Linked DNA regions of Cricetulus griseus. The protein of the gene in region 2 binds, or shares a complex with, the protein of the main gene of each other region. Links are inferred from orthologs where the notes say so. Each region holds a gene or a part of one and is shown on either strand. Other genes may lie near its edges.

Evidence for each region. Proteins that work in one complex are often made in the same cells at the same time.
Region 1: Skp1 (region 2) and Fbxo10 share a complex: the UniProt entries of both Homo sapiens proteins name them as parts of the SCF(FBXO10) complex. The link is inferred for Cricetulus griseus from reciprocal best matches to the Homo sapiens genes SKP1 and FBXO10.
Region 3: the proteins of Skp1 (region 2) and Fbxw7 are in contact, whole or in part, in a crystal structure (PDB 2OVP), measured with the Homo sapiens proteins. The link is inferred for Cricetulus griseus from reciprocal best matches to the Homo sapiens genes SKP1 and FBXW7. Residues at the interface, in NP_733779.1 of Homo sapiens: Gln97, Leu100, Phe101, Ile104, Leu105, Asn108, Leu116, Asp117, Cys120, Lys121, Val123, Ala124, Ile127, Lys128, Gly129, Lys130, Thr131, Pro132, Ile135, Arg136, Phe139, Asn140, Ile141, Lys142, Asn143, Asp144, Phe145, Thr146, Glu149, Gln152; in NP_001336727.1 of Homo sapiens: Pro274, Phe276, Gln277, Arg278, Asp279, Phe280, Ile281, Leu283, Leu284, Pro285, Leu288, Tyr291, Val292, Leu293, Phe295, Leu296, Pro298, Lys299, Asp300, Leu302, Gln303, Ala304, Ala305, Gln306, Thr307, Cys308, Arg309, Tyr310, Trp311, Arg312.

What each region holds. Positions count from the first base shown.
Region 1 is NC_048595.1:98,365,645-98,373,026, forward strand, and holds the start of Fbxo10 (F-box only protein 10), read left to right. Parts: upstream 1-2,447; 5' UTR 2,448-2,545; intron 2,546-7,382. UniProt on the Homo sapiens protein: Substrate-recognition component of the SCF (SKP1-CUL1-F-box protein)-type E3 ubiquitin ligase complex. Mediates the ubiquitination and degradation of BCL2, an antiapoptotic protein, thereby playing a role in apoptosis by controlling the stability of BCL2.
Region 2 is NC_048600.1:66,398,030-66,405,596, reverse strand, and holds the start of Skp1 (S-phase kinase-associated protein 1), read right to left. Parts: upstream 4,865-7,567; 5' UTR 4,711-4,864; intron 3,609-4,710; exon of another isoform or gene 3,457-3,608; intron 344-3,456; coding exon 247-343; intron 1-246. UniProt on the Homo sapiens protein: Essential component of the SCF (SKP1-CUL1-F-box protein) ubiquitin ligase complex, which mediates the ubiquitination of proteins involved in cell cycle progression, signal transduction and transcription.
Region 3 is NW_023276806.1:69,598,754-69,606,047, reverse strand, and holds the start of Fbxw7 (F-box/WD repeat-containing protein 7), read left to right. Parts: upstream 1-2,359; 5' UTR 2,360-3,497; intron 3,498-7,294. UniProt on the Homo sapiens protein: Substrate recognition component of a SCF (SKP1-CUL1-F-box protein) E3 ubiquitin-protein ligase complex which mediates the ubiquitination and subsequent proteasomal degradation of target proteins.

The DNA.
Region 1 (7,382 bases), on a different chromosome or scaffold from region 2:
CCCAACTCTTTTACAGAAATGCCAAAACAAACAGTAATGTTTGATGTCACAAATCCAGGAACTCAGGATTTAATGGCTTATTGAAATTCATATCCAGCCTGCTGGTTTCATACAATGGGGTACTTTTCAAAGGATTAGACATGTGACTGGTTTACCAGTCATCAAAAGCAAGCAACATCACCAAGTTTATTGTAGTATGAGTTCATCCTGTTTTTCGCAGGGCTTGACCTAAGCGTGGCCTTTCCGCTATATCTGTGGGCCTGGTGTACCGCTCTCGGTCTTTAAATTGTTTTTAGGTCTAGGTGTTTGGTTTGGGTTTTAAACAAAGGAGTAGTTGAGGGCTGGGGTGTGGGTGAAGGGGAGAGCACTTACCCAGCATGTGCAAGATCCTGAATTTGCTCCAACCAATAAAACAAAAAACAAATAAAAACCCCTGACAGTTACGCTAATGTGGGCCTCACCCCATCATGCCAAATTCATCATACAGTAGTAATAGATGAAATTATTTTAACACTTTTTTTTTTTTTTTTTTTTTGTAGACCTAGGATTTGGCGGAAGTCAGTAGAACCACATGGGTCTGGTGTAGAAACTTCTCAACATTCTTGATGAGTTAGGTTTCTGCACTTAATGCAGAGGTCTGAGTCCAGATGCTTTTTGTTTTGTTTTCTTTTGTTTTGTTTTTCGAGACAGGGTTTCTCTGTGGCTTTGGGGGCTGTCCTGGAACTTGCTCTGGAGACCATGCTGGCCTCGAGCTCACAGAGATCTACCCGCCTCTGCCTCCTGAGTGCTGGGATTTAAGGTGTGTGTCACCAACGCCCGGCTAAAGATTTATTTTATTTTATGTACACTGGTGTTTTGTCTGCATGTATGTCTGTATGAAGGTGCCAAATTCCTTGGAACTGGAGTTACAGACAGTTGGGTGCTGGGAATTGAATCTAGGTCCTCTGGAAGAGCAGCCAGTACCATAACTGCTAAGCTATCTCTCCAGCCCAGATGCTTATTTTTCTTTATCTTAAAATTATTTTATGCGTATGTGTGCTTCTCTGTGTGTATGTTTGTGCATCAAGTGTGCCTGTTACCCCCAGGAGACCAGAAGAGGGTCGAGTTACAGAGGGTAGTAAGCTGTCATGAGTGCTGAGAATAAAACCTGGGTCTTCTCCAAGAGCAGCCAGTGCTCTCAACAGCTGGACCATCTCTCCTACCCCCCCTCCACACACACACACACAGCTGCTCTTGAAAATCAGTGACCGTGATGCTAATAGGCATCACAAACTTAAGAAGTTCACAACTGAGTTATTGATCCTCCACCTTTATGTTCCCCTTATGACAGTCCCGTTTTTGCAAATAGCACTTCCTGGATCTATGGTAAGCTAGAAGATTGAATTTTCCCTAGTTTTTCCACAACAGCCCAAATTAGACTCTACTGCAAAACCGTCTCAAATCTGTGAGTCCCCATATCCACACCAGTACTTCAGCCCAATCTCTTGGCTTTCCACTAGAGTAGCAGGGTCCAAACACCCACATTCTCCACCCCTTCAATGGCCTCCACTCTAATACCCTTTGATCTCAGACAGAGCTGGGGGTGGGTGCCTGCACATGGCTGGAGAGGCAGCTTAGTGGTTAGGAGGTAGGTGTATTGCTCTTGCCCAGGATTCCCTTGGCGGCTCACAACTGTCTATATTCCCAGTTCCAGGGGATCCAGCTCCTTCTTCTGGCTTCCAATAGCCCCTGTAAGCACAGAGTGCACACCCATACACAGATTTTTTTAAAAAATATTTTTTTGTTGTTAAAAAAACCGCAACTCTTTGTGTTTCTCTAAGGAGCAATCTTGCCTCCCTTGGCTCACGAGCTTTCTCACACAGACTTTTCCTGCCCCTTTTCCATATGACTACTCTCATCAAGTCCCTCAACCCCTGGTTTTAAACCAAGGCCCCTTCCACGTAGTTCACATAACTTTAAATTCATATGAACTTAAATAGCAGCTTGTGTTTACCATCTCCACCATAGAATGGATTTCAGAGCAGGCGCCATCACAGTTTTGTTCTCTTGGGCCCATAACTAGTAGTGACACCAACAACTACTACACATCATTTACATGCGTCATGCATTGTTATACCAAGAGCTTTCCACACAACCAACCCATGGCCCCAGTGTCCTTCCTGACTTCTAGCCAGGGTCAGTCTGCTCGGCCGCTTAACCCAGCTCCTATGTGCTCATCCGCACCGAGCCCCATGGGCTGTTAGGCTAATCGTGCAGGAAAGGATCCGCGTTGACCGCTTGGAATCCTCCTGCAGTTCTCGCCCACGGATGCTATTCCTGCCCCTTCAGAGGCCACGCTCGCCCTTCTCAGAGCCCCGCTAGCTCCGCCTTGCCTCCAGGCTCGGGTCGCGCGCTCGCAGCGGAGCTCCACCCACGCATCACGTGACAGCTGTCGGGGGCGGGGCTCGCGGCGAAGTCGGTCCTCCTGGCGGCGCGCCGCAGTCCTTGGGCAGCCCTGCGGCTTCCAGGGCGTCGCGGCCGCGGCCCCGCAGCGCCGCTCCCTGAGGTAAGAGCGCGGGTTCCTCGACGCGCCCCGGAGGCCTCCCGGGAGCCCGCTGATGCTCCAGGCCACCGGCCTCTCCGTCCTGCCGTGGGCCAAGCCTGTGGCTGGGGTGCGGGGACCCGGCCTGAGGCAGTGCGGGGGGGAGAGGGGGGGCTTGGCCGCCGGAGCTCCAGGAGAGCCGTGCCTTGGTCCCCCCTCCTTCCCCGGGACCACCCGCGGTCGCCTTCAGCCCCAGGGTTTTGCTGGTGTGCGACAGAATTCATTCTCCTTTGCGGTTTGCAGCCTTCACCTGGGATGCCAGAGCCAGTGTGCAGTCGGACACCCAGTGGGTTTGGTTTTAGCAAATCGCGGAGACTTGGTTTCTAAAATCTTTGAAAGAGGGATAACCGCTGCCCGGCCTCCCTCCTGCATCGAAGAACTGATGGCAAAGCCATTTGATGAGCCAGAACTCTGGAGTTGGTTTTAGTTCCACCACCCACTAGCCAGGCAACCTTGAGCCACGTCGATGGTGCTTCGTTAAAAGTAGAGACAGTACGTCAGCCAGAGGTTGCTATGAGGATTAAGCTGAAGAGATGAGCACGGTGCGGGCACAGAGGGCTCTTTAGTTCTCTCGGCATGAGCATTATTAAAATAGCAAGCTAGAGAGGACTCTCCAAGAGAGACGTCTTTCTTGCAGTAAGCACACCATCCACTGTGTTTGTGATCCTGAAAACAGTACGGGTTTTGGCTGTAGAACCCTCTCCCCTTTCCCAGGCCCCCTTTGCCTTCTGTTTCACATTGGCATGTGAACCTGTTGTTCCTACCGAATGAGTCAGGCAGGATGGGAACGCTAATTTACTTGAGCAGATGGGTATCAGATTCCCTCTGAGGGGAAAGAAAACTGCCAGGCATGTGCTCCCATCAAAAAAAGCACAGTAGAGTGATTGACAGTCTACTGGAAGATGCCTAGGAACCCATGTAATCCAGCTGTTTCCTGCACATAAAGAAACGAGCCAGAAGGAGGCCAGGACTTTGGTTTTGCTCACACTTCAACACTGTTGGCTCTGGGTAGTAGAAAGAATGCTTGTGCTTTCCCATGCTCGTTTATTCCTGCTGCGTATTTGTACGTCGACAAGGAGCTGGATGAGATAAAGCTATGAACCAGACAATGGTGTCTGACCCCATGAAGCTGTCTCCATAGCTGACTATGTTAGTTTGAGATTATATAAAAGTCTGTTTTGTGTGTGTGTGTGTGTGTGTGTGTCTGCTGGGTCTCAGTATGCTTTATGATAACAATAAGTTCCAGCTCCCAGGGAGCTTGCCTCACAGCAGCTGGCCCCAGGGTACCCACATGCAAGAGAGGCTTGAATTGTTTCATGAACCTTGTCACGTCTCCAGGCCTGGTGGAAGCTTGATGAGATTTAGAAACTGGAGAAAATGGTACGTTGTTGAAGCTTTTAGGGAAGGATTTCCACAGGCCTAGAATGCCTGCATTTCTTTGTTCCTCTGGTTTCTGGCCTCTTATTGTTTTTAGCTATCTAAAGAGAGCAGCCTTCAGCATAGTTCCTTCATTTGGTTTCCATGGTTATCAGGGGAATTACATTTTCATGATAGCACCAGTAGCTATTGAGCTGTGTGGCCAACCACCAGTCGCTCACCACCAAGTCCTGCTTTCTGGTTTTGTTTTTCAGTTGTAGTGCAGACATCATCTCCGTTTTCTTTTTTTCCTTCCTTTCATCCTTCCCTTCAATGGTGACAGTGTGAAGAGGGATGGCAATAAGAATAGATAAAATAGAGACAGACCTTGGCCTGGGAGATGGTAGAATCCCTTTTTGGCCCAACCCATTGATGATGATGATGCAATGCTGTGTGTGGCACAGAACTGAGGGCATTGGCAGGAGTCAGGGGCAGGGCAGTGGCCCTCTGGAAAGGTGTAAATGGTGAACCAACTTGAGCTGTCATAGGCAGAGTAACAGTGCCCTGAGCAACAAAGAACACCTCACCCGCTTTTCAAAGGAGATAAGAAAGAAACATGTTCCTTTAATGGGCCCCAGTCACAGAGGAACACTAGATAGCATTTTGTTGCTTGAGTTTGCCTTCATGGATGAGCCTTTTCCTCTTGAGTCACTTACCATGTGCTTTGTGTGAACAAGCTGCTGCTTTCCCTGTTAGCGGGATTTGTTTCCCTACTCACCTGACAATGGGATTGTCAACATAAAGGGGCTAGAGAAACACTTGTTTGGGATCCATCTATTTCAGTTTAGATGTTTAACCTGTTTGTCTTATTTCTCAAGTTGGACACTAATGCAGTCACACATTATTTTTCCAAGTACCCTCCCAAGTCTTCCAAAACCCTCATTAGTAAGGATTCTAACCTCTAGAGAGGCTTCTGTAGCCCAAAGAGGACCTCTCAGAGGAGTGAGAGTGGTAAGTGGTATACCCAGATTGTTATCTGACAGCTATGAGTTGTCACTATGGAGGAGTTGCCCTGCACAGTTCAAGGATGTGTGGTAACTGCTGCTCAGTGCCCTTTAGGGCACTATCTATGTCAGTAAGATCCCCTGTTTGGATCTGAGTTTGCAGCTTTTTTTAGTTCATGCTCACGTGCTTAGCTTTGTGTTCCCCAAAGCTCCACTTGTTGGCCTTTGCCTTGAGTCTGCTGCTTGGCTGGCTTCTTCTAGCTTTCGGGGTCACCACAGATCACTGAGATTCTCCTCTTTTCAAGCCTTTTATCTGAATGAAAGGGCTGTATCTTCCTTCCTTCCTTCCTTCCTTCCTTCCTTCCTTCCTTCCTTCCTTCCTTCCTTCCTTCCTTTCTTCCTTTCTCTGAGCTTAACCCAAGTCCTTTTGGTAAACCGGTTCCATCTTGTCACCAGGGTCTTACCTAAGCAAGTTCTTACCTAAGATTCTCAGGGATGGTACATTTCAAGAAGATGCCTCCCTAGGACTTTGGGTACCTCTTCAGCCTTGTTTCTCCAAGTATAAGAGGGATGGGTCCTTGGTGATTCTTGACTGCTTCCACCTGCAGTCCTAAGAGGTTAGGCAACTACAAACATCCCCTATTAAGCTGGGGGTGGTGCATGCTTGCAGTCCCAACACTCTGTAGGTGTAGGCAGGAGGATCAAGAGTTTAGGTCCACCTAGGCTATATGAGACCTTATTTAAAGAAAAAGGAAAGGAAAATAGGGTTTACTGAAAGTAGAAATGTATTTGGCATATATACTCTGTTAGGGATTTGGGAAGCAAGGTTTCAAATTAAAAACAGGAATGTGGTTGGTAGGGTGACACTGTAGCTTTTGAATGGCGGAGGCAGGAGGATTGCTTGGACCTAGAAGTTAGAGTCAGTGGCAAGATCTCAACTTAAAAACAAACAAAAGGCTGGTTACAGTTGTTTGGTTTTTTTATGACAGTTTTTGTGTTCTTTCGGTTTTTCTAAGAATTGGTATATTTATTTTGTTATCTTTGTTTTGAATGTTTTTTACTCTGAAAGATAAAATATACAGATGGGGTGCAAATGTACAGTTTAGCAAATAATTAGGAGGGAAATAACAGTGTAAACACTGCAACCTCAAGAAATAGAACATGGTGAGTGCCTTTTTCAGAATTTAACCTCCTCCCTGAGAAGCTGTCATCTTGACCTGTAAATGACCATCATCTCTTTGTTTCATCAATTGTGTGCACGTCCCTACACAGTACCATTGAGTTTAGCTGCTTTAACTTCATACGTGTGAGATCACCCTGTCTGCATCTTTTGTTTTGCTTCTTTTGCTCTGTGTATCACTTGGCATGCATCCAGGTGGTAGCCTCATGTCTGTCAGTAACAGTAATGTGCTGGTGTGAATAGGTCACAGTAAGTTCAATTAGCATTGGATGGACAGTGGGTTGCCAAGAACATTCTCAGACATATTCTCTCTCTTTTAAATTGCATTTACTCATTTGTTTGTTTAGTGGCAGGAGGCATACACAAGTTGGTTCTCCTTTCATTGTGTGGGTTCCCAGGATAGAACTCAGATCATTCGTCTTGCTTCCTGAGCCATCTCTCTGGCCTTCCTCAGGTATATTCTTTGTGCATCTGAACAAACTTCTTTAGGTTACATTCACCTAAATAGAATTGTTTTGTTAGTGGTGGTAACATGCCCCCCCCACATACACACTTTGATTGGTTTGCTTTTTGATACAAGATCTTACTGTACAGTTCAAGCTGTCCTGAAACTCAATTTGTAACCAAGACTGACCTGGAACACAGAGCAATTCCCCTGCCTTATACCCGTAGCCTGAATCTACAGGTATGAACTACTATGCCCAGCTTCTAAATTTCTGTGAGTTCTACTTCCAGTCCTTGGAGATTCTTGCATCAGTCAGCTTATTTAGCTATTCTTGTGTGTATAATATCTCTTGAGGCTTTCTTTAACTTGCTTTCCTTGGTTATTGCTGATAGTGAGCACTTTTTTATGGCTAATGGGATACTCAAGTCATCAAGCTTGTTCTTTAATGTAGCTCCAGGTTGGCAGGGTTGGCAGGCACTTTATCCACTGATCCATTCAGCTGGTCCTGCAGATATTTTAAGTTAAACACACACTAGATCCACATATAAATAAAAACATGCAGTATTTGTCTTTCTAGGTCTGGGTTGCTTCAACTTAGTATAATTTTTTCCAGGCTCATCCATTTACTTTCATTGTCTATAGGTACCATGTTTTCATTATTGATGTACATCTAGGCTGTTTCCATGTCCTATCTATTGTCAATAGAGTAGCAGTGAGCATGGAAGAGCAGATATTTCTGTAGTAGGGTATGGAGTTCTTTGGGTATGTCTGGGAATGGTGTAGCTGGGTCATATGGTAGGTATATTTCTAGCTCTT
Region 2 (7,567 bases):
GATTCCCCTGCCTCTGCTAAGTGCTGGAATTAAAGGTGTGAGCCATCATGCCTAGCAAATCTTAAAAACAAAAAAACCCAACACTTTAATAGCTTGTAGTTTTATTCATACAATGCAGAAAGGAAACTACCTTTTTTACTCAGAAGCTTGTAACAGACTGGCTCAAGTAAACCTAATACTTACAGGTTACATACCACCATCCTAAGTTACACATCCCACTTTTTCACACCAAGATTTCATAGTTACCTTCCAGCATGGTCTTGATGGTCACAGATTGTTTGGCAATTTCTACATCAACTTCAAATATCTCTCCATCAGAACTCTGCAACTTTATCGAAGGCATCTAAAAAAGATGCAGTGAATTAAGAAATGTAAGCTGTTAATTCCACAAGATATTTCATCAACTAGTCTGTCAGGAAGCTGTAACTAGAGCTTCTGTACAGTTCCAAGTTCTTCACAAATCAGCCTATAATTGTTTTTATTTTAAAAAAATTCCACAACTTTAATCCCAGCACTCGGGAGGCAGAGGCAGGCGGATCTCTGTGAGTTCATGCCCAGCCTGGTCTCCAGATCGAGTGCCAGGATAGGCTCCAAAGCTACACAGAGAAACCCTGTCGAGAGAGAGAGAGAGAGAGAGAGAGAGAGAAATTCCCAAGTACAGCTCCTTTAAACATTGGCTTTAAAGGTCCACTTAAAGGCAGTGCTGAATTTACAACTGGTATTAAGAGTTATCTGTATGTGACATTTACTTTAGAATATAAAGTGTGGGTGTGCATATAGCTCAGCAACATGCAGAGGTCAGAGAACAAATTGCAGGAGGCAGTTCTCTCTTTCCACTATGTGGGTTCCAGGGATTAAGCTTAGTTATCAGGCCTGGCAGCCATTTGTTAACTTCTCAAAAATTTTAAGATACATGCTTTCTATGCTCCCACTGAGAAATTACACAATATGAAAAATTAACTGCCACAATTAACTACCTACAAAGCTGAGTGAAGTCAGTCCAAAGTAAACAAAGCTATCAAATGAAAGTAAATTTCTTACAGTGAAATCTACCAGTGAAAAACAAATGACTCCAAAGAGTAGACTAGGATACACACACTTATAAACAAATGCAAGCCTACACACAAGAAAATAAAAGACATTATAAGCAAGTGTCAATGTGATCCCTAAATCCCACAAGGAGCTTAAACTTAGAAGAGACCATTTTAATTTTTCAATACCCACTGTTCAGGTGTCCAAGTTTGAGATCCTCTGGCTAAGTCCCTACAGTAAAAAAATCTGCTTCAAAAATTCATTTTGGCTGGGTGTTGGTGGCATAGGCCTTTAATCCCAGCACTTGTGAGGCAGAGGCAGGCAGACCTCTGGGAGTTCGAGGTCAGCCTGGTCTACAAAGCGAGTGCCAAGATGGGCTCCAAAGCTACACAGAAAAACCCTGTCTCAAAAACCAAATTCATTTTGAAGCTTGGCACATGCCTTTAGTCCCAGCACTCGGGAGGTAGAGGCAGGTGGATCTCTGTGAGTTCGAGAGCAGCCTGGTCTACAAGAGCTAGTTCCAGGACAGCCTCCAAAGCCACAGAGAAATCCTGTCTTGAAGAAAATAAATAAATAAATAAATAAATACATAAAATGATTTCACTTTAAGCCAGGTGTGGTGGCACACACCTGTAATTCCTAACTCAGGAGGCAGAGGCAGGCAGATCTTTGGGTCTGAAGCCAGCCTGGTCTAAATAGTGAGTTCCAGGTCAGTCAGAGCTACATAGAAAGACCTTGTCTCAAAAACAGCAAAACAAGAACAAAATGCATTTAAGTCATGGTGGCACATGCCTATAAAAGTACTGGAGAGGCAGGAATTCAGACCCAGGGTACACAGCCAAGTTCAAGTCCAGCCTGAGCTACCTGTGAACCTGTCTCAAAAAACAAAATATACATATGTATTTAAATTTATTAAAAATAAATGGCTGGGCAGCAGCAGTGCTTGCCTTTAAACCAGCACTGGGGAGGCAGAGACAGGCATAGATCTCTGTGAGTTTGAGGCCAGCCTGGCCTACAGAATGAGTTCCAGCACTACACAGAGAAACCAGTCCTGTAATGCCCAATATTTGGAAGACTAAGGCCAGGAGGATAATAAATTCAAGGACTGCCCAGGTTATATAATGAGTTCAAGCCAGCCTGGGAGAACTCAGTAAGGGCCTGCTTCAAAACAAAATACCAAAGAGGCTGTGGATATAGCTCAGTAGTATAATTACCTAACACTGTCCTCTCCTCCTGTCCAAAAGGTGAGCCAGTAAATAAGTACATGCCATAATCCCAGCATTTAGGCAACCAGAAGGATCAGGAGTCCAAAGCCATCTTGACACATAGGAAGGAAGTATGAGGCTAGCCTGGGTTTCATGAGACCCTGTCTCAAAAACGGAACTCAACAGCCCAAATCTCCAAAAATCTCATGGACTCAGATAAAATATGAGCCATTAGGAAAAATATAATTCATATATAAAAAAGGTAGGAAACCGAAAACTCCTAACATGACTTGAATTTGAGGGAAAGTAAAAAAAAAAATCTAAAACTAAAAGCTCAAAGCAAGCCTGAAATTTCTTATCACCTTCAGATTTCTCCCACATTGCTCCAAAGAGGATTAATTCAAGACCTCTTTAAAATTCATATGCAACTTTTTTTTAGGGGTTGTTTGTTTTTTGAGAAGGGGTTCTTCTGTGTAGCCCTGGCAGTCCTGGAACTTGCTCTGTAGACAGAGCTAGTCTTAAACTCAGAGATCTACCTGCCTCTGCCTCCAGTGCAGAGACTAAAGGTGTGTACCAAGCTTGACTCACAAGCAACTGTTAAAGTCTGTGATTTTGAGGTAGACAATCCTCCAATGTTACTATCTACTAACTTAAGGTACCTCTGAAGCTTTCTGATCTAGGTTGTATTAAGAAACAATGTGAAGCCAGCACTCGGGAGGCAGAGGCAGGCGGATCTCTGTGAGTTCAAGGCCAGCCTGGTCTCCAGAGCGAGTGCCAGGATAGGCTCCAAAGCTACACAGAGAAACCCTGGGGGGAGGGGGGCGACAATGTGAATTTTCACAAAAGCCTGGTGTTTGGCATTTAAAATAATTACTTCGCCCATTTTACCCTCACACACTTAAGACTCGACATCTCTTAAAATTCTCTTAAATTCAGCTTTCCTCCGACACTTGTCCCCATGCCTCAAGCAAACAAGCTGGGGCAGGGGTGAGCTAAATCATTTTACAATCATCCACTAAAATACCCAGCTCTCCCTCACCCATGGTTTGAGAGAATCAGATTTCACTTTTCCACTCACAAACATGTCTGCTTCTCCATGTTTCTCAGTGCTTGCCAATAATGCAGAACAGAGAAGCCCAGAGCAGCAGACCCTCCCTATAATAAGGCAACAACACAGTTAACAGTGAAGGGAGGCTAGTTTTTCATAGCAAAACATTACCTTCTTTCTATAGTCCCCAGTACTGTAACGAACACTCCAGAACAAGTCTAACTACGTAGTTGATAGAATTACTTTAAAAGCAACATCATTCCATATTTCCTTGAAATAATCCACAATAAGTAAAGATGTGCTTAGTCATAGTAGAATTCAGGTATTAGGTTGCTTGTGCGGGAGCCAGGATCTTATTAAATGACAGGGAGACAATCGGTTAATCTGTAATTCAATGCACTCTGTAATCCTAGACTTAACTTTCGGTGTTGTGTTGGAATTAAGTGCAAAATTTTCAAGTAATAATGCATGAGATTTCGACCTGACATGCTTTCAAAAAAATAATAATAATAAAAAAAACCTTCAGTTTTCTAACTCCTGGACTTGGAAATTAAACAACCTAAAGAATTCTAGTACACCAGACTTAAAAAACAATCTGTTTTTAAGTGACTCGAAATTCTGACACTTGCTATTAGACTGCAGGATGGAAGGGGCTGCATTGTTCTATGCCACAGACACATTCTACTGTGACATTCGGAAGAAAAACTGCAAGTCCCCAAACCTGCGGACTCCATTAAAAAAAAAGTGAACCAAAGGGCAGATGTCACACTATCCCTTTAAAGAACCCAGGCATCTCAAGTTTAGGAGTCGGAAGCTCCTAAAAGACACACCTCAGAGGACGGGGTCTGCTATTACAGTAGCTAAGTTCAGAGACTGCAGGACACGACAAAACAACGCAAAGAAATATCGAGTCTGTACCTGCAGTTTCGGTGGTAGAAGAAGCGAGACCAAAAGGGAGCTAGTGGCGCCAGATACAGGCGAGGGAGCCAAAAATCGAGCAGACTAACAACGACCGCCACCACCTGGGCGGCCAACCCCCCCTCCCCCCAAAACGCAGAGCGCCGCCGCCACCTGTCCTGGAGCGCGGGGCAGCAAACCTATCGCCCAGGCAGGCCCGGGCCGAAGCCTGGGCCTTGCAGCCGCGTTCGAGCCTGACTGACGCCGCCCTCAGAGCAGGCTCGTCACAGGGCTCCGCTCACACTCCTCGGGCGAGCGCCGTGAGGACACGCGGCCCGCGGAGGCCTGACTCGGCCGCCTCGCGCCTTCCGCGGTCCAGAGTCGGCAACGGGCCCCACAGTGCCTCAGGCTACGCCAGGCCGAGTCGCCGCCGCCGCCGCCTCGTGCAGGCCATAGCCACCCCGGGGCTCCACCACCGCCCGCCCTCCAGGGACCACGTCCTGGCCCAGCTCGCGGGCGGCTACTCACGGTGCTCGGTCGAGGCTGACGAGCAGCACTCAGACACGACGAGAAATACCGAGGACAAGGCCACTACAGCAACGCCTCGCGGCGGCCGGCTTTTATAGGAGCGGGAAGCGGGCGCCGAGGCCCCCGAGCTCGTGACGTCACACAGCCGGCCGGGCTGGCCGTTGAGATCGCCTGACGGTAGGCGGAGGGCGGCGCGCCAGACCCTGAGCGCTGCAGAGGCCTGCGGGAGAGATGCTGAGGGACATCGGGTGGATGGGCGGCTAGGCAGAGGAGGGGCTTCCGCCTTTCTCCTCTGCCCTCGAGAGCGCCATGCTCTCCTTCAGTGCGGACGCCGGCAGCGGCTGAGGTACCAACGCGACCCTAAGGGTCTTTCAGGCAGGGGCTGTCTTGAACTGCATGAAAGACGCCAGCCCTGAAAAGCCTGGAAACAACAAACCGCAAAAGCGGCTTATGTGTGTTTCACTTAACAGATTCACCTCGTTACTCTCCTAATAACCCAAAGAGGTGAGGTTGTGTTTGCCCACCAGGAATTCGGGATTTGAACCTTACTCCACTGATGCTAATTTAAAAAAAAAAAAAAAAAATCTCACGGCATGTTGAGACCAGGTGTCACTTCAGGCCTAAGAACTTGGGATACTCCTGACTTAGCACACCCTGCCTGTTTGATTGTAAGAGTTTTTTGTTGTTGTTTTGTCTTGTCTTGATGAGACAGTGTCTCGTGTAGTACAGGGTGGCCACAAATTTACTATGTAAACCAAATTGCTCTAAAACCCCCTGCTCTGGGATTGCAGGCCTGAAGTGTTTTGTTTTGAGACCGGTCTTGCTATGTAGACCAGGCTGCCTACCCCCGAGTGACAGCACTGGGATTACAGTCATGCACTACCTTGTTGGATATTTTTAAACATTTATTTCCTACCCTCGACCTTTGAAGAGCCTTCCAGACCCCAAATAGCCATTGTGTTAACGAAGCTCCAAGCCTAGAAAATGAAAACATCGTAATATGTATAATGTGAGAATACATTCTTTGTGTAACCATGCACTCAACCCTGTAGGTGAGGCCAGTGCTGGGATCTAGTAGTGAACCAGGGCAGTCAAGCCCAGCCTGAACAGACTGTGCTGTGTGAGCAGCTCACAGAAGGCTGTGATAAGGTCGCTAGGATGAAACAGCTTTGCAGTAAAGAGGGAGAGGCCTAAAAGCACCCATCTGGCCTCACCCAAGTCAGGAACTGTGCAATTGGTGGCTCTGCCCTGCCCTGCTGTGTCTAGGGAGCATCACTGTCCCCACCAAGGCGCCTGGCTCACCTAGCCAGCAAGCACGTGATAGTATTCCAGACACCACAAAGACAAAAGGCACTTCCACACAGGGCCTCCTAAAGAAACCAGAGACTACAGTTTCTCTAGGACAAGACTGGGCAGAGAGGTCAAGCAATGGCTTGGGTTACCAGGTCTTTGTCTGCGGGCTATGGTATCCAGTGTCTGCCAGGTGCCACTGCTGATGACAGAAGATGAAAGGCCCACATTTCTCAGGCTTTCTCTCTGCAGCACTGCCTGCCCTTCACAGCTCCTGCTTTGGGCCTCCTAGGTAAGGGCCACTGGAGAGCCTTTCTTCCACATGGAGGGCATCTTAAGCAGTACTGGGCAGTGCTGGGTCATATAGCTAGCTTAAGAACCCATCACAGAGCTTGGCACAAAATAGGTATATGTCTTTTCTGGATACTAGAATTTCTCTGATACTAGAATTACCAAGAGATGCTTGGAGGAGAAAATGGAGATTTTGGTGCTGGGGCAAAGCTTACCATGCCCAGGCCCCTGGGTTCAGTCCTTGCCACAACTAGGCTATTTAAGATTCAAATTATTTAACAAAAGATGTACAAGAAATTGTTTGCCTAAAATAAATGGAACTTGCTGGGCAGTGGTGGCACACGCCTTTAATCCCAGGCAGAGGCAGGCAGATCTCTGTGAGTTCGAGGCTAGCCTGGTCTACAAAGTGAGTTGCAGGACAGGCTCCAAAGCTACACAGAGAAACTCTGTCTCAAAAAAACAAAACAGGGCTGGAGAGATGGCTCAGGGGTTAAGAGCACTGGCTGTTCTTCCAGAGGTCCTGAGTTCAATTCCCAGCAACCATAGGGGTGGCTCACAGCCATCTGTAATGAGATCTGGTGCTCTCTTCTGGGCTGCAGGGATACATGCAGGCAGAACACTATACATAGTAAATAAAAATAAATCTTTAAAAAACAAAACAAAAAAGAAATGGAACTAAGCAGCTGGGGCAAAAGTTGGGTGATTTTTATATTTTTTTTCTACTGTTTGGATATGGATTCACAGGAATTATCACATATTTTCCCCCTGCAATGAATTAGACACAGCAGTACAGCTCTTCCACTATAGTCTATTGAAAGTCTATTCCCTGGGTCTAGGGACATGGTTCAGTGGGTAATGTGCTTGCCTGGCATGCACAAAACCCTGGGTTTGATTACCAACACCTCCATAAACTGCACGATGGCTCATTTCTGTAATCCCAGCACTCAGGAGGTGGAGGCAGGAAAACCATAAGTTCAAGTTCACCCTCTGCACTTAGTTCAAGGGTAGCCTGGCCTACATAATTTTGGGTCAGCCATGGTTATATAGCAAGAACCTGAGTTTAAAAAATGTTCTTAAGTGAATAAGAAAATAATTAATTGGCCCACTGTAAGGAAAGGCAGCTGGGTCCATTTTCATTGTAATTAATCTAACCTGGGAGCAGGTTTAACTATTTTTAAACTATTTTAAACTAACTTTAAACTATTTCAGGTGCTTCATAAGCTTAGAGTAAGTAGATAAACTTCTCTAATAGGGCATGGGTGAGAATGCATTGTCA
Region 3 (7,294 bases), on a different chromosome or scaffold from region 2:
ACCCTGTCTCGAAAAACCAAAAAAAAAAAAAAAAAAAAAAAAAAAATTATGGAACTGAAAGGATATAGAACAAGTTGGAGATGTATGAATTCCCTCCTTTCCAGCGGCCAGGGTCTAACAGCTGTTTTCTCCTGTTACCAGTCTGGGAGGGGAGGTGAATGGATCTTATTCAGTAAGCTTAGTGGAGCTACTATCCTCAGTAGGTGGCTTGGGGCTCTTCTGAGTGCCATTCTGTCCCTCAGTGATGAGGTTATAGAGTGGAACCATTGGCAATGAAACAGATCAGGCCTTTGAACACGGCATGACACACAGGTTTCTGGAAGCATTTTCAGTTGCAGAGCTCTGCAATTTGTACTCTTCCCATTCAAAGTTCACGAAATTAAACTCTGAGGTGCTCGGCTTCACAAACTTCTCTAACCCTACATTGCATTTCTTTAATTTCTGCTGTACGGAAGAGAGTTCAACAAAATAATTATGTTGTAGCCATGTCTGGCTATTGCTTATTGATCTGATTCCCTGTGAGTATAAGTTGAACTTGGCAGGTTTAATGGATCATGTTTGCAGACCATCAAACCCAGCATTAACTAGGGTGAGAGATATTTGACTCCTGGGATTTCAGGTGAAGTACAACAGGGCCCGGTGCAACTTGTGAGTCCGTTCTTACTTTTGTGGCATCCTCCTCCCCCCTTTATTCACATTTATTTTTTTTTGCACAAAAATGAAACCTTGATTTATCAATGTAGACACTTCATTTCACTGTTCGAAGTGGTGGAAGAAGTGGCAAAACCCTGGGCTCCCCAAATACGTGGATAGTGTATTTAGTCCCATCTCCCCAAGCAAGGTTGAAGACCTAAATCGCCTTTGATATCCATCATTGCTGCTTACAGAGCAGGGGTCGGGTGCAGGGGTCCAGCCACACAACTGTGGAATTTGTTTCCCTTTATCTTTGCTGCTGCTTTAATCTCATTCTCCCACCATTAAGAAGGGCAGGCTCAAGACAGATTTCTGAGGATTGTGGTCCTTTTTATCTTGAAAATTCTTTTACTTCGGCACCACAGTTTAAATTTCTGTAGTTTTCCCCAAAACTTAAACAGAATCTGTAGGACAAACAGCCCAATATGTTAATAACAGAGGAGGGGGATAGAGAGGGAAGAAAGGAGTGAAGAAGGGAGGGAGAGGGAGGGAAGAGTAAGATAAGGGTGGGGGGAGGGTGAGAGAGAGAAAGAGAGAGAAGAGAGAGGCAGGAGAGAGAAAGAGGAGCGCGCGGACGCGCGACCGCTTTTGAGTAAGTCCTAAGACGTCGGCCAAAATTTTTTGAAGATATTAAAGGAGCGCTGTAATGAACAAGATCAGTTCTTCAAAAAAGTCAAGAGACAAGCAAGAATGACTCTTAAAAGACAGGCTCGACTACATCCGCCCCTTGAAAACGTTTTTAAAAAACTCTATAATATCCCAGAGTTGGTTCTCTTTCAGCCCTCTGATCCCCAACCCCGGTAATTCACCTACTTTCCCACAAAAGCCTGAAGTTGCTGCTCCCAACGTCAAGCCTCATCCCTTTCCTTTCACAGCTCGAGGGTGGGGGTGGGGTGTATCACAACTCTCAGGTTTCTACGCCGCAAATTACAAAACGCTTGCACTTCCACCATCACTGCCGAGTTCTGGGACTGCGATGCGAGACGCATTCATTCATTCATTCATTGATTCATTGATCCACTCACTCACTCACTCACTCACTCACTCACTCAAGAAACCTTCGCACCGCACCACCACCACACATAATGCGGCTCAAGGTTTCACCCCCACGCCACGGGAAGGGTGGAGCGCTTGCTCCCTGGAGCAGGTGCAGCAACTGAGCTGTGGGTCAACTTCTCCACCCGTCTCGCTGTTCTAGAACCTGCTCCGGGCCAAATGCCTCACCTTCGGGTGGTGCGCGCCCTAGCCCGGCCCCGGGGCCTGGGCCGCCTCCTCGTTCCCAGAGGAGCAGTTCGCACCTGCCCCGGAGGGAACGGCCACGGAGCTCTCTCTCCGCGCCGCCCTCGGGTCAGGGGTAAGATCAGGCGGTAGCTTAGGCTCGCCTGGGCTCCTCCCCTTCCTCTCCAGTTCTGACGCGGCCGTAGAGGCGGTGGCGGCGGCGGTGGCGGCGGCGGTAGCAGCAGCAGTCCCGCGGCCCGAGGCGCACCCACCCGCTCGCAGATCTCGACTTCCTCTTCCCTTGATGCGTCATCAGAGCGCGCGGCAGTCTCCCAGGGCGGGGTGGCCGGAGAGGGGGAGTAAAGGCCCGCAAAGGAAGGCGCTGAGAGGGAAGAGAAGGGAGGGGGAGGAGAGCGGTTGCTAGGCGACTTGCGTCATCGCCGGGCGCCGCTCTCCTCCCGCCCCTCTCAGGAGTGAGGCGAGAGCCCCGCACAGAGCGAGGGAGACAGGGAGCTGAGCTCCGGGCGCTGCCGACGCCGCCGGTGAGAGCGTGAGAGCGAGTGAGTGAGCGAGCATCCGAGAGACCGGGCGCCCGTGCACTGACCGCCGCCGAGACCTTCGCCTCAGCCCGGGCCAGCGGGAGCCGCGGCCGCCGTCTGCTTCCCCCCCTTACCTTCCCGGCCGGCAGCGGCGGCTGCACACGCCGGAGCCGGAGCCCCAGCCGGAGCCGGAGCCCGCGGCCGGGGGGCAGGGAGGCGGCTGCTGCGGGTCGGGACTGGTAGCTGCTCAGCCGGGAGAGGACGCCCGCGAGGGGCTGGGCTTTCTGCCTCGCCCCGGGGCGTGGGGCGAAGGACCCCCCGAGGTGTAGGGAGGGGGTCCCGGCCGCCGCGACACATGCGGGAGCCGCGAGCGGGGGCGGCGCCGATCCGAGCCCGCCAGGCCACCAGCTTAGCCGCCGTCCGGTCCGGCCGCCCGGGGCCGTAGCATCCCTTCGCGGAGTGTATGAGCCGGGGCCCCCAGCCCAGGAGCCACCCCCGGGCCGGGGGGGCGGGGACCCCGATGTGAAGCGGCTGCGGCGGCGTGGTGAGCGGCCCGGGCGCCGCCGTCCTCTCCTTCCCCTCCCCTCCCCTCCCCTTCACCCCCTCTGGGGGGCTTCTTCTTGGGCTCGCCGCCGCCCCCCTCGGCTCCTCGGCGGGACTCCGGGAGTTCTCGGCGCCCCTCCCCGCCCCAGCCCCCAAGGGCAGCGGGGCCGGGGGGGACCCGGGGGGCCGGCCACAGCCTCCGCCCAGAGGAAACTTTACCCAAACAAAATCATCGAGCTTTACGATCGTGTCTGTCCCGGGACAAGTGGCCCAGGACGGGCAGAAGCCACAGTGTGCAGAGACCCAGGAAGAGGAAAAACGGTGAGCGGGTCGCCGCCGCCGCCTCTACCCCGGCAGCGCGGAAGAGACCCGGGTGGTTGCCTGGTGGAGCGACGCTAGCACCGCTTCTTCTGTTCCGCGCCGAGCCTTTCGCAGCTGCCGCCTCAGCCCGAAGGAGGAAGGGAGCCAGCCCATATTGTCAGCGCCACCGCTCGTCTCTGAAGCGTGAGTGGACTCGGGGGAGGGGGACGTTCTAGGGTAGCAATTGGGAGCCGGTGGGTGCTTGGTGCTGGAGTTTGGCTGTTGTTTCTCGGGAGGGTTGGGCATGGAGACCTTTCCTTCCTGCTGAGGGAAGAAGGCATCAGTTTGCAAGAGTAATGCAAGTAACAGGGGGCTTGACTTAGAGGAGCGGTGTCTCCAGAGTGGACGTTTGCACCTTTCTGCACACTGATCAGCAAAGGGAAATCGAGAAAGCCCAATGGACAGGTCTGTCCTGTACATTTTCCTGGCCACTGGTTGTGATCCAGCACAGAGTGGTTTTGTTTCAGGGAAACTCCCATGGATTCCCACGTGGGAATCACTTGAATCAACTCTTTAAAATTTTTTTCTCTTTCTTTCTTAGCTATTGTTTTTGAAGTTGTCCTTGAGAGAAGGACCAATTTTGGTTTAGTACACACAGGAGCTTGGTACCCCGGATACGGTATTTCCCAAGTCCAGAGATTCTGATGCATAAGGAGGATGTTTTTGTGTTTCAGTAGCTCAGGAGAGTTCAAGTTCCTAGGATGCACAACTCTTTGAGACTGAATTCAGGGAGAGCACTTAATGCATTACCGTTTCATAAACGTTGCAGCACTTTCTTTTTCCCTAATTCTCTTATCATTTTTGAGGGGAGAGTAATACATTTTATGTGATAGTATATTTTTCCTAGGATTGAAAGGGCATGCATGTGGCTTTTCTTACTTGACTTGTCAACTTAGAAACTTCTCACACTTTAAAGAAAGTATTTCAGGTATCTTAAGAGTGCTTTAAATTAGAGGTACAGGAAAGTAATGTTTCACATATATAAGGTTAAACATACTGTGGGATTTTATGTAACAAGGAACATAGGTAGTGTAAGACTGAGAATTCTGGTCCATTCAGACAATGGAAAGTGGGCAGAACAGAGATGCTCTGTAGAAATGAATGGAAACCTGGGCTTGTCTATCCATCTTAATTTCTCCATTTAGGATCATGATTAAATTTGTCTGATTGAAAGTTTCTCACATTTCACAATGTTTGGGCCCTGTTCTCCCCCTCTTTTTAAAGTAATTAGCCCAAAAGTTTATTAGTTTTTGCATTATGTAACAACTCTCTTATCTTCTAACTGCTTCCTCAAACTTCCAAGATACAGGTTGAGGAATGCTAAAGCAACCATGCGTTTATCTCCTCTTGCTTTTATAGATTTTGGTTATTCTCTTCTGTCATCTGTCCCAACTTTTTAATCTTGAGTACTTTTAGTTTTTTTCCATTTTGGATTTTCTAGCTCTTTTATTTTTCCTTAGATGCTTTGTTCTTTATATGTTTTCATAAAACACTGTAAGTTCTACTTAGTGTAAATGGGAATTAGCATGAAAATATTGGTGAATGAAACTTTAAGTTTAGAATAAAACATGTTTTTGGATCTGTTAACCTTATTTTGCAACCCTGAGTAAGTCATGTATTCCATTTTCCGAAAAAGGTGACTGAGAGACCTAGTTTTGCATAGTTTGCTTTTTGGGAAGAAGGGGGCTGTAAACCAAGAAATTATACCTTGAGTGTGTATTGCTTCGGTTCAAAGTTGCTTACAAACTTGAGGACCTGCTTTGCAAATTGGTTTTAAATCATGGAAGTACTTTATTGGCTGTAGAAATAACAACATTTAATACTTTCAGTCTTTGGGGTACCTTTTCTTATGAATGACAGAGGCAATTTCTTACTAATTCAGAGAACCAAAGGTGGAAGGAGAACACTGATTCCACAGAGTTGTCCTCTGACCTACATGCACATGAATGTAATAGTGGTAGTAGTAAAAATAAATAGGTTTTTTTAAAAAAAATGTAGGAAAGGAGGAAATGTATTATCTTTATTAGTCTAAGATCATGATATATACCAAGGACTGTCATTGCACCTTCCATTAGGGAAGTGTTGATTTTGGACTACCCAGGAATAATTGGAGTCTCTGAGCCAAATCTTGGAAGGGCTCCTTCAGGAAGAAAAGAGCATGTACAAACAAAATATTAAAGACTCAGAGTCAGAACATGTAAAGGAGAAGGAAGTTAGCTTGGTGGGAATACCTACCTACTGATGGAGGTTCTCGACTAGGGGTAAGATCAGTTTGCACTTGTGTATACACTCATGGTTACAGTTTATAAAAGAATTTGAAAACTGCTCCAGAGAGGGTAGTTTCAAGTGACTGGGAGAAATTATACTTTAGGACGAAGGCACTATTGCTGGCTTTAGGATTTTGTTTCTCTAGGAAACCAATCTTTTTACATTATGTGGGGGCTGCACAGAAGGAGGTGTGAAAAGGAAATGCTTTGAATGTTTTTTAGCTGGATGCTAGTAGTTTCTCATAATCAGGAATTCAGAAACAGTAGCAGACTTTGCTTTGGATGTTGATTTTTAGGTTAAGAGCTGGATGTCCATATATTTCATGTGTTGGCTCATTCTGTTTTTCTTTTCCTCCGCCTCTTAACTCTTTCTCTTTGATTTTTGAATCTGTCTCTTGTCCCAGGCTGACCTTGAACTTGCTGTGTAGCTGAGGATAACCTTTAACGTCCAATCATCCTGATCCTGCCTTGACTTCCTGAATGCTAAACTTACTGTTGTGTGTGCCACTATTTCTGGTTATGTAGGGCTGGGGATGAAACCTAGGGCTTTATGCATGCTATCAGGTGCTTTGTCAGCTGCGCTACTCCTTAGGGCCTGCCCCATATAGCTTTCAAGACTGCAAAGTAGTTTGGGTAATATGCTGACAGTGTGGGTAGTGATGGGAGTCATTCTTAAAGGCTTTAGGTTTCTGAGATTACTGATACTGAGTAAAGAGCTGAAAAAGGATTTTACAATTTTGGGAATGGACAGAGTTGTGTTAGCTTAAGCACAGGCATAATAAGAGAGACATTCCCCAAAGAGATACTTCATAAGTGAGTGAAAAGTGGCAGTTGAAACAAGGAACAGTCTTTAAACATAGCTGCCGACTCAGTCCAGAGCATATAATTCTGTTTTTAGCAACAGTTAGAGGTTTTCAGTAGAGCATTTAGATACTGAGACATATGTTCAGAACACACAGGACTTTGTTAGGGAACTTATAAATGAAATGGAAGATTAGTTTCTCCAAAACTCAGGTTTTTGATACTTCCTTAAGCTTGGTTTCCTCCCCCCTCCCCGAGACAGGTTTCTCTGTGTAGCCCTGGTTGTCCTGGATCTTGCTCTGTAGACCAGGCTGGCCTTGAACTCAGAGATTGGAGTACCTCTGCCTCCCCAGGGACTAAAGGTGTGTACCACCAAAGGCCAGCTAAGCTTGACCTTTTTTTTTTTTTTAAAAAAGATTTTATTTATTTATTTATTTATTTAATTATTTATTATGTATACAACATTCTGCTTTCATGTATATCTGCACACCAGAAGAGGGCACCAGATCTCATAACGGATGGTTGTGAGCCACCATGTGGTTGCTGGGAATTGAACTCAGGACCTCTGGAAGAGCAGTTGGTGCTCTTAACCTCTGAGCCATCTCTCCCAGCCCTAAACTTGATCTTAATACTAATGAAGTGGAGCTAAAAATTGCTGAAAGGGAAGGCTGTGTCTTTTCATTAATTTTCAGGGGTGTGCATCTTTGTGGCCCATACAGTGGAGGGGATATTTCTGTGTTGGCGCAGAAGTGTCAGGGATACTTCAGAATATTCAGTTATCTTTATGGTTAGCATTTGGTGCTGTTTTTGACAAGGATAAAGGATTGTGAGTAGAAACACATACTCATTATCTTCATATTCCTTAGTTTGAAT